Linked DNA regions of Caenorhabditis elegans. The protein of the gene in region 2 purifies or fractionates together with the protein of the main gene of each other region. This does not show direct contact. Each region holds a gene or a part of one and is shown on either strand. Other genes may lie near its edges. The genes, in order: vha-13 and cah-2.

Region 1 (5,381 bases), on a different chromosome or scaffold from region 2:
TCAGCTCATCAATCTTGCTCAAGTCCATATGTTCAATTGAGCATCGGAAGCGTTTCATTGATAAATTCGGATTCTCTCGAAATGCAGCAGTATCAAATTTATTTCGTGATCCAGAGCGATCCATGAGAATATAATTTCCATTTGGCGCTGCTTTGGAGATCCAATAAGCTAGTTGACCTTTTCCAGCTCCGAGCTCGAACATGCAAGATTTGGAGCAAGTTGGAAGTAGCCCTGTGGATTCGATGTGACCTGAAAAGAAAATTATTAAAATGGAAATGCATTTTATAAAACCTAAAATAGACGAAATCTGGTATAATTGCTTCTTTTTCGTGTTGTTCAGATCTGAATTTTGTGCGATATTTTGCTCGACGAGCTCATTTCTTTGTTGCTCAACAATCAAACGATCCATTACATCCGTCTCATAGCACTTCCAGATCTTGTGCACAGTGGTACAAATCTCATCTTCAGTGGCTCTTCGATCAATTTTATCGGTGCGTTTGGTCTCGCCACGAATAGAATTTGCATCAATTTTGATATATTCTGCATCTCTGATTCTAGAATTACACCTTGTCAGATGAATCTCTAGATCTGCCTTCAGAATCGTATGTTTTCCATCATTCGGGCAAACCATACGATCAGTGTTATTCTGATCGTGAATTGAATGCTCTCCACAGAACCGATTTCCCTTTTTCACCAGCATCTTACACCGTCGCTTCTTAATTGGTAGAATATATTCACAGCAAGCGTTCTGCTGTTGTTGCTGCTTCACCGAATCCAATTCCATTTTGAAAACGAGACCTGCGTGCGAGATATTTGTGATTTTCCTAAAGTTTATTGCTATAGTTGAATTGGTGTGTCTCAAAAGTATTATACATATCACAACACAGTAAAACGTGGTTCGTAAGACTATACGGGTTGGTTGTCGCAAAAAAAGAAATGGAAGGGCACAAGTAAAGTAGTCTATTCAACAAGAAGAATACCAAAAATATTGATTAATATAAGTGAAATTGTTGTTTAAAACGGGAGTTGTAAGGCGACCAGATACATTGTGTGTGGTTGGAATTTTTTGAAGTTTAGAAATCTACAAAAGAGAAAAAAGGTGCAATAAATATCTGAAATTTGGAATGTCAAATCAATCAAACACTTTAAAGAGGATAAAAGTAGAGAAAGGAGGCGAATTGGGTGAGGGGATCAAGGAAAAACATATACTTTTAACTAAAAAGTACACGCTCAGCAAAACTGAACAGAATCTAGCGGGGAGGCGAAAACAGAAACAAACAAGAGAATCAATTTTAAAATTTCTAAAAACATTAATTTAATCCTCGAGGTTTCTGAAAGCGTTAGCCATAGCCTCTGCCAAATCTTCGTAATCCTTGCGAATCTTGGCTTCACCATCGGCAACTGGATCCTTGAATTTCATGGCAGAAAGCTGGTAGATCAAATCTCCCATGCTATCCTTGATGACGTTCCATGTGATCTTGTTATCAGATTGAGCAGTTGCTTCAACAGCATGACGGGCCAAGTCATAGAATCCAATCATATTCTTGAGCATACCGACAGTCTTGTAGAATGGGCAGAAACGATCGTATTTGGTGTATCCGTTCTGTTGCAAGAAATCGTCCTTGATGATCTTGGCAACCTCAAGTGTGACCTTGTCTGATTCGGCGAGGGAAGCTTTTCCGACGAGTTGCACAATTTCGGAAAGATCTTCTTCTTCCTGGAGGATCTCCTTGCACTTGGTACGGAGTGAGACGAACTCTGGGTAGTTCTTCTCGTAGAACTCCTCAAGAGCACGCATGTACTCGGAGTAGGAAATAAGCCAGTTAATAGATGGGAAATGTTTACGTTGAGCAAGCTTCTTGTCAAGTCCCCAGAACACCTGTACGATACCGAGGGTGGCGGATGTGACTGGATCGGCGAAATCTCCTCCTGGTGGTGATACGGCTCCGACAATGGTGACGGATCCTTCACGTTCTGGAGATCCGAGACACTTAACACGTCCGGCACGTTCGTAGAAGGAAGCGAGACGAGCGGCAAGGTAAGCTGGGTATCCGGAATCGGCGGGCATTTCTCCGAGACGTCCTGAAAAGAAAATTTGAAAATGTTCAGAGAAATTTCAAAAATATTAAGAAAAAAATATGAATTTCAAATATGAGTATATTTTAAACGGATTAAAACTCACCAGAAATCTCACGAAGAGCTTCGGCCCAACGAGAGGTAGAGTCAGCCATCATGGCAACGTTGAGACCCATGTCACGGAAATATTCGGCAAGGGTGATACCAGTGTAGATGGAAGCTTCACGAGCAGCGACAGGCATGTTGGAAGTGTTGGCGACAAGAGCTGTACGCTTCATGATGGAAGTGGTGACACCTTCGACCTCCATGGTGAGCTCTGGGAAATCACGGAGTACCTGAAAAACAGAAAAAATTAGAATTGTAAAAAATAGGGGCAAAATTGTTAATTTATAATTTAAATGCGGGACAAAACATTGGAAAAAGTAAGAAACATAAACCTTTTAATTTTTAATTGTTTTCTAAATTTTATTCTTAAACGAAACTATTCTGACTAAACTTTTTCACAATTTTTTTTTGAAAAATTAAAACTATTGATTCCAAAAACGAAATTATGGAAAGGCTTTCTTGTTTATTTGATTTTTTCTAATGTTTTTAAAATTATTTTCAAAAAAATTACCTCAGACATTTCGTTTCCACGCTCTCCGCATCCGACGTAAATAATAGCATCAGAGTTGGAGTATTTGGAGAGAGATTGGGAAATGACAGTCTTTCCACATCCGAAAGCTCCTGGAATGGCGGTGGTTCCTCCTTGGACACATGGGAACAAGGCGTCGAGAACACGCTGTCCGCAGAGAAGTGGATTGTTGGCAGCGAGCTTCTCTGTGACTGGTCTTGGAGATCTGACAGGCCAGATTTGGAGCATAGAGAATTTCTGCTTGCGTCCGGCGAATTCGAGCTCGAGAAGGGTGTCCTCAACTGTGTATTGCCCGGATGGAGCAACGAAGGTGATGGTTCCGCATGCACTTGGTGGTAGAAGAATCTTGTGCTTGATGAGCAAGTTCTCATCGACGGTTCCAATGATGTCACCTCCGGTCACGTGTCCTCCAACACGGAGATCCTTGGACACAACGAAGTCCCAGCGAGCTTCACGAGAAAGAGCATTAGTGGAGACTCCCTTTGGAATGTAGATGGATTGAGTAATATCAGCAATATCCTTGAGTGGACGCTGAATTCCGTCGAAAATCGATCCCATGATACCTGGTCCAAGTTCGACGGAAAGTGGTTTACCGGTACGAAGTACTGGATCTCCGATTGTGACTCCAGATGTTTCCTCGTATACTTGAATAGTGGCGTAGTCACCCTCGAGACGAATAATCTCTCCGACGAGCTCTTGATGTCCTACACGAACCAACTCGTACATAGCCGATCCAGCCATCTTCTCGGCTGTGACGACAGGTCCGGACACTCCGTAAACGAATCCGTACGAAGATTCTGCGGCCATCTTTTCCTGGAATGAATGAATTTAGAAAGCTATATGGAAATCGAAAAGAAAATCAAAATAAACCTCGTTTTTCAACAAGAAGACCGAAAAGACAATGGAATTTTTAGGTTTAGAAGTAGGAAAACTCATTAATTCGAGCAATAATGCAAAATATAAAATACAAAGAATAGATATAAAGTGGCAGGGCAATGTTTAATCGGATAAACTTGAACCCTTATAAATATTCAACGAGAATTGGAATATAAATCAATTTATCATTCAATTTACAAGAACTTTTGTAAAGGAAAAAATCAAAGTAAAGGTAAACGAGACAAAAAAACGAGTAATTCCTGTGACTAAACGGGGGGAGAGAGATGTGGTAAAAAAGCTCACAGAAGTTGTTGGAAAAAGCGGAAGATGTGGAAGAGAGCGCACTGCACGGCATTCTACAACGAATAGAAGTGGTTCGATTGACAAGGAGAAACGTCGGCAGGCTAGCGAGAGACAGCGCGCCGAGAGCAGAGAGCAGATAGAGAGAGCGTGGCCGTGGCGGTCGCAAAAACCAGGAACCGCCGGTCGTGCGACTAGAAATCATCGCCGCGTTGCAGCTTCGCCCTATTGAACCGAGAATTTTATACAGCGAGGAGTGAATGTGAGAGAGTGAATTTTGTGTGGCAGAAGTTGTGTAGGTTTACGTCTATCTAGGTAGCGGGGAGAAAAGGTTACACGTCTGTCATCAAGCGAAATTTGATAAACTAATGTGGAAGCGAAGTTACTCTATTAGATAGGAAAAATATGATTTGCGAGGTTTGAGCGGAAAATTTATGTTCGTTTGGAACTATTTTCAAGTTATTCGCCTTAACAATTGGACCACAGTATCATTATAACAATAGTTGTTTTCTAAATTTCGATTAAATAGATACGAAAAAAAAGAAAAATTATATCCGCAAACTCTGAAAAAAAAGTTAAACCAATATTTCCATACAGTAATCTCTTCAAAGGCACAGGACGCTCAAAAACGAAAGGTCTCGCAACGAAAATGTAATTTTCTCCCCAATTTGCTCATTCAGTTATTTAGAATTACGTAGTCGTTAGAATTCTTGAAGGTTTAGACGATGAGACAAAAAAAAAGATGAAAAGTGATTGATCTGTGGTTGTGATAAGAAATTGAGACCGCGACGCATTACGCGTTGCACTTCAAAACATTCCTTTTCCGCTCATAAACACCCGCATTTACAATTAAAATTACAAATTACTATAGGTGAAAAGCCATATTTAATTATACAATCGAAATTACTTGCTACTTCCAGCTCTTGGTGCAGTGACTTTGAAACAATAAATGCCCATATGGTCGCAAATTTGGCGCGTTATGAATAAACAGTAGACTAAAAGTGATGCATAAACGTAAACAGTCGTGTACTTCAGAAGAGTTGGCTCATTGATTTTGATGTCGTAGTATTGATTGATCATCAATGCGATTGGCCCCATGTAGATCCAATCCCAAAGTGAGAGCTCACTTCTGCTCATGTGTGCAACAATCAGACGATTTGTGGCTTTTGCCGCAACGGCTCCAAATTGAAGAACAAATATAACAATAAGATCATCATAGACGCCAGATGCCGATTTGCTGTAGATCATACAATATGGAACAATGACTGCAAGAAGTGGGCAGGCTGGGAAGAGAACTGATGTTCCAGCAACAGTTGATCCATTCTTTCCAACACCATCTGTGAAGATGACTGATAAGTAGCCCAGTGCCTGATAAATCGTTCCAAGACCAACACAGGCTAGCAGGAGATGCTTGAGAGCATATCCAAATATTCCAACACTCCAGAGTTTTGGTCCAAAGAGTGATGTACAGAGAAGCATTGAAATAATAGACCAT
Region 2 (5,062 bases):
GGTCTCTCTCTTCTCTTTTTTGCTCACAAAATTCAAATTTCCGTCTCAACCGCGCGGCGAGAATTCACTTTACGCGTTTCTTTTTTGTCACTTTTTTCCAGACTCTCTTTCCGATCACGATAGTCTGACGACATGAAAAGGTGTTCTCATCGTTTATTTTGCAAAGAAAAACTAAAATAACACTGGAATAAGCTTTGTGTAGTATCTGAAAAATAATAGTTTTGTTTTTGAAGAAAATATTTCCGCACCATGTTTCTAAGGTTTCCTTTCGTCAGGAGTCAAGAATGATTGATTCAAATTCATAAACATTTTTTGTTCTAAATTTTGCCTGAAAAATGCTCAATAAATAACTTATTTTAAAGGATTAAAACCAATAAAGATATTCTCACTGTTTCAAATAAATTTTAAAACTCACCAGCTGTAGAAAATTGCCGGTCTTCAAAAGCAATTTTAATCTTATTTGAAGTTATAAAAATTTGTATTTTTGCTAAATAACTTCTAATAGAGAGGTTCTCAGTGCTTCGTCGGACATTTAGAGATTTCATCGAACATTTCTTGTCTTTTTCTCTTTAATCTTCCCACTATTTTCATTTGATGATCCTCCCGAAATCAAAAGAATTATTCATCAATTTACTGGATACGAGTTTCCCACGATTTGTCTATGGGCTCACACAATCTTTTTCGCCTACTCTCGCACCTCCGTCCCACATATTCAAGAGAGTATCAAACGGCAACATTTTTGTTATTTTCTTTCATCAAGCTCTTTCTTTTTCTTATCCACATTTTTCAGCTCATTCTCATGCATTTTTGGCACATTCTCGACTGACCCCGAAAAAGCCACTCTCTACCACTTTTGAATAGTGCTTTTGCACTAATAAAACTGCAGTTTCCTGAACGGAATACCTGGCAAATTGTGGGTCACAGCGGGGCGGTGAAGCAACGCCTTGCCGTTTCTAATCGGACTCCGTCTCGCGGCAGTAAATGTTTTGGCCCAATCTAATTTCTAACCAATTCGGCCCTCCCAGTCGTCATCCTGCGAAGAAAATACACGTTTTTGTTATGTTACACAGCAGTTTTGTTGAAAAAGAAAATATTTTCTTTGAGAAAAGGAGGATAAGTGTATGATATATAACTCGAATAATTGGCTCCATCAGTTATAACTAACTTTCTTCATTTTCCATATTTCTTTTCATCGTTTCACTTCATTTTCGGAGCATCCCCTTGCTCAATAAATTTTTACAAAAATTATCAATATTAAATAAAAAGCTTGAAGAGTTAAAATTTTCTAGCATCAGCCCAAGCTTAAAATATTGAAAAGAAGTAATAAAATTTAATTTTTTTCACAAAATGAAAAATAACATTATTTGTAATAAATGTGCTCCCATTTTTGACACCTTATCATAATAGGTTGCGTAGTACTTTAAACATTATCCACTAGACATCTAGTAAGGTATCTAACTATAAGACTTAGAATTTGATAAGTTTCAAAATTGTGCACCATATACCTGACAGTCCGTGCATTTTAGATTTTTTAACCATTATCTTTTTTGATTACTCTGTGTTGAATATGTATTTTACTATACCTCCAAGGTTCAGCAAAAAGCCCACACAGAAAATTTTCCTGACACTTGTTTTCTAATTTCGTGTCCAAAGATTTCCGGTCATCTTGTTTCAATTGCGTGCCCTTCTCCTCTCGTTTACTACTGATTCAAATATGCAAAATTGCTCGCCATGTCTCTGCGCTTCTTCACAAGCCACATTTCCGGCAATGAACACATCTAAAGGTGCTCCGTGAGCTGGCAATCTGAGTGTTTCATCTTCTTAACCAGTCCCACCTCATCATGTACTCCACCGAAAAAAGTGCACCCAATCAATCTTCCTTGTCTTTTTTTGGGGCTGAGCTCTCTTTTCGCTATTCGTACTACTCGTGAATGTACATTTTTGTCGTTTTCGACACCAATTAGCCGACAAACTCGTAAATAATTCTGAGACGAACAAGTACCGTGTCAGTTGTCACTGGCAACTTTCAGAGACTCTCTTTCTCTGCACTTTTTCTCTTTTTTCTTTGTTCTCTTTTGCTCATTCCCACTACCTTCATTCCAGAAGATTCCGCAGAATATTATGATACCATGGCTCTTGACAGCCTGTATATATCCTTGTGTTATAGGTAAGAAATCTGACTTCCCCGTGATTTAAAATCTGGAAGTTGAAATACACAAACTTCAAATATTCTGTTTATGACAACAATCATATTCATTATGTCTTACTATAATTTAGGGTTATGATTCACTAATCACGTATATAATTGAATACTCCTAGGTATTACACCTATAGTTAAAGTTTTGAAAATAGTTCAGCAGCTTACAAGCTGATGCATTTAACTTTCAAAAGTGGATTAGTTCCACTCACTCATAAATTCGACCAAAAAGTGTTTCCTATTAATTTTTAGTTTTAAAAATGTTTTAATTATTTGTATTTGAACATTTTGAAGATCCTGCGATACTGTTCTAAACTTTTCGAAAGTCAAAATATTACGTAAATTTGGCAGTTTACCAAAACTTTGCCAACAAAAGTTCCAAATTATTTTTTTTAATCTTTAAGCATAGAAGAATAGTTATAAATACATAAATACCATGACTGGTTTATATTTTCAACAATTCAATATTTTCAGGTCCCGACTTCTGGGGATTATTACACGGTGACTGGAGAATGTGTACAGCTGGTCAAATGCAATCACCAGTAAACATTGATCCTTCCCAACTTTTATATGATCCACATCTAATGCCTATAAACATTGAGGGAAATATTGTAAGTTCGTTTTCTATGCTTTCTGATTATGAGTTTCCCGTATAATTTTGTTCATTTTTCCAGGTGGAAGCAGTTTTCGAAAATACCGGACAACTTCCTGTGGTCACAGTTAAAGATCTACCAAATCGGCCAACAATCAATATAACAGGAGGACCAACAATGCCTTATCGTTATAAACTCCATCAGGTACCCTTTATTCGAAAAGGAATTTTTAGACCACGAGCAAATAAATTTAATTCAGATAAGCGTACACTTTGGAAGAGCAGATGAAGGAGAGAAAGGATCAGAGCATACTGTAGACAGAGTTCGATTTCCGGCGGAAATTCAGCTACTAGCATATAATAGTGCACTTTATCCAAATTTCAGTGTTGCAATGACATCACCAAGAGGGCTTCTTGCAGTTTCTGTAATTGTTGATGTAAGTACTTATACTTTTTCTAAAGTCAAAATTTGTATTTAGATTGGAAAGACTACATCTGTGGAGTTACGAAGATTAACGGTTGCGTCACAGAGCATTAACTATAAAGGTGCGTGTTTTTTCAATGGTACAGAAAGTATATAATTGAAAATGAAAAACTCAAAATCTTCACTCAAAATACCGGATGACCGGTTTACAGTGTAAGATCCTTTTTGTTTGGCATCTGGAACATGGTGCAACCATATTTTTAGAGTTTGTTCTACATGAATACTATTTCAATCTTGGTGTGAAAAATATAACTGCTAAATTTGGAACGGAAAAAAAAAGACAAGGTGGTCTGGGACCCACTGGAAAAAACCTGTGCCTTTAGCATTGCCTTACCAAATTACGATAACAAGAAATATTTCATAAAATCAAACGGCATTTTCAAACTGCGTTAAAATTTAGATTCATTTTTCAGGCCAGACTACAAATCTCACTGATTTTCAACCATCTGCACTTTTACCAAAAACCTCTCACTATGTGACATACGAAGGATCTTTAACTTTTCCCGGATGTCATGAAACTGTCACTTGGGTTATTTTAAATAATCCAATTTATATAACCAATGATGATGTAAGTCATAAATGAATCTAATGCAAAGGGCTGAAATAAATTGAAACATTTCAGCTTCAAATTTGGAATGAAATGCAAAAAACAGAAACAAAACAACCAGAACCATCATATATGACTCCTGCATATCGTCCATTGAAATCGTTAAATGGCCGTCTCGTTAGAACAAATATAAATGTTGGATCAAAAGTGAGAAAACTTGGTCTTCCAAATCTTTAATATAGTTAATTGTTCAGCAGTCTACTGTATCTTCAAGTTGTCCATCGAATGTTTACGTGGAAATGGGGTACCAAGCGAATCCTGGTAGAAATAAGCGGAATGATTCGGTAAGATACACGTCGCAGATAAATTTTAATATTTTATTTCAACAGGTTTCTCGAAGATATGTTCCAACATCGGAAGTTTTCGAAATCGATAGCATTCGTCCTGATGATGTTTCCAAAGCCGGTTCATTTTAGTAAATTACTGTACATTCTCTACTCTTCTTTCACTTTGAAAAACTTCGCGTTCTTGCTCATTCTTTCTCCGAAAGATTTAACTATTGATCTGTGTATTTCTGTATTTAATGACACTTTGGAACTATAAAATACGGGTTCGATTTTAAATGAAGTGTTTGACTCTCTTTCTGTAGAATTTTGTGATATTTTTTGACTGAACAAATAGTTAAAACCAATTTTATGAATAAAAAAGAACTCAAGAAATAAGAATCACAAAGAAAGATACTCAAATATTTTGTGATAATTTCATTAGAATCTAAATACTAACTGAGAGGAGAGAGCCAAGAAATAACTGGCAAGTGATTGCACGAAGTTTGATTTTAGAAAATGGAAAAAGTACAACGGGATTGAATAATATTATACATGTATTTACAACTCGGAACCGTCTTTTGGTGAAGTTAGATTATCGACAAGGAAGCGACGAGCCAATAGTGTGAAGAAAATAGCGAAACACAAAGCGATAACTGGAATCTTGTATAGAAGGGTATAGTCAAAGTTTGTTGATGCCAAGCGGGGAGCGTGGTGTTGGAATACCAGAGGTTGTGGATCTGAAAATATAAATTATTTTCAAGACAAAATGTTTCAATTCAAGTACCTCGAATGGGTTGGACAGCAGGTTGTGCGACATCTGGTACTTCTGATGAATTGACATTAACAGTAGTACCTTCTTCTCTCTCATCTGCATCTTCTTCTGATTCTTCGACATTTTCTGTTGGGACCGAGCTTG

The links.
Region 1: the proteins of cah-2 (region 2) and vha-13 fractionate together in Caenorhabditis elegans (co-fractionation; one large-scale study listed by BioGRID). This does not show direct contact.

What each region holds. Positions count from the first base shown.
Region 1 is NC_003283.11:14,349,853-14,355,233, reverse strand, and holds vha-13 (V-type proton ATPase catalytic subunit A), read right to left. Parts: upstream 3,526-5,381; 5' UTR 3,518-3,525; coding exon 2,693-3,517; intron 2,412-2,692; coding exon 2,183-2,411; intron 2,083-2,182; coding exon 1,316-2,082; 3' UTR 812-1,315; downstream 1-811. Other genes in the region: Y49A3A.3 (tRNA:m(4)X modification enzyme TRM13), read right to left, coding at 1-249, 292-784; cept-2 (diacylglycerol cholinephosphotransferase), read right to left, coding at 4,790-5,381. UniProt on the Caenorhabditis elegans protein: Catalytic subunit of the V1 complex of vacuolar(H+)-ATPase (V-ATPase), a multisubunit enzyme composed of a peripheral complex (V1) that hydrolyzes ATP and a membrane integral complex (V0) that translocates protons.
Region 2 is NC_003280.10:7,480,151-7,485,212, reverse strand, and holds cah-2 (Putative carbonic anhydrase-like protein 2), read left to right. Parts: upstream 1-2,103; 5' UTR 2,104-2,121; coding exon 2,122-2,167; intron 2,168-2,671; coding exon 2,672-2,808; intron 2,809-2,871; coding exon 2,872-2,994; intron 2,995-3,049; coding exon 3,050-3,226; intron 3,227-3,268; coding exon 3,269-3,335; intron 3,336-3,686; coding exon 3,687-3,841; intron 3,842-3,895; coding exon 3,896-4,027; intron 4,028-4,074; coding exon 4,075-4,164; intron 4,165-4,209; coding exon 4,210-4,296; 3' UTR 4,297-4,462; downstream 4,463-5,062. Other genes in the region: ubc-6 (UBC core domain-containing protein), read right to left, coding at 4,705-4,883, 4,931-5,062.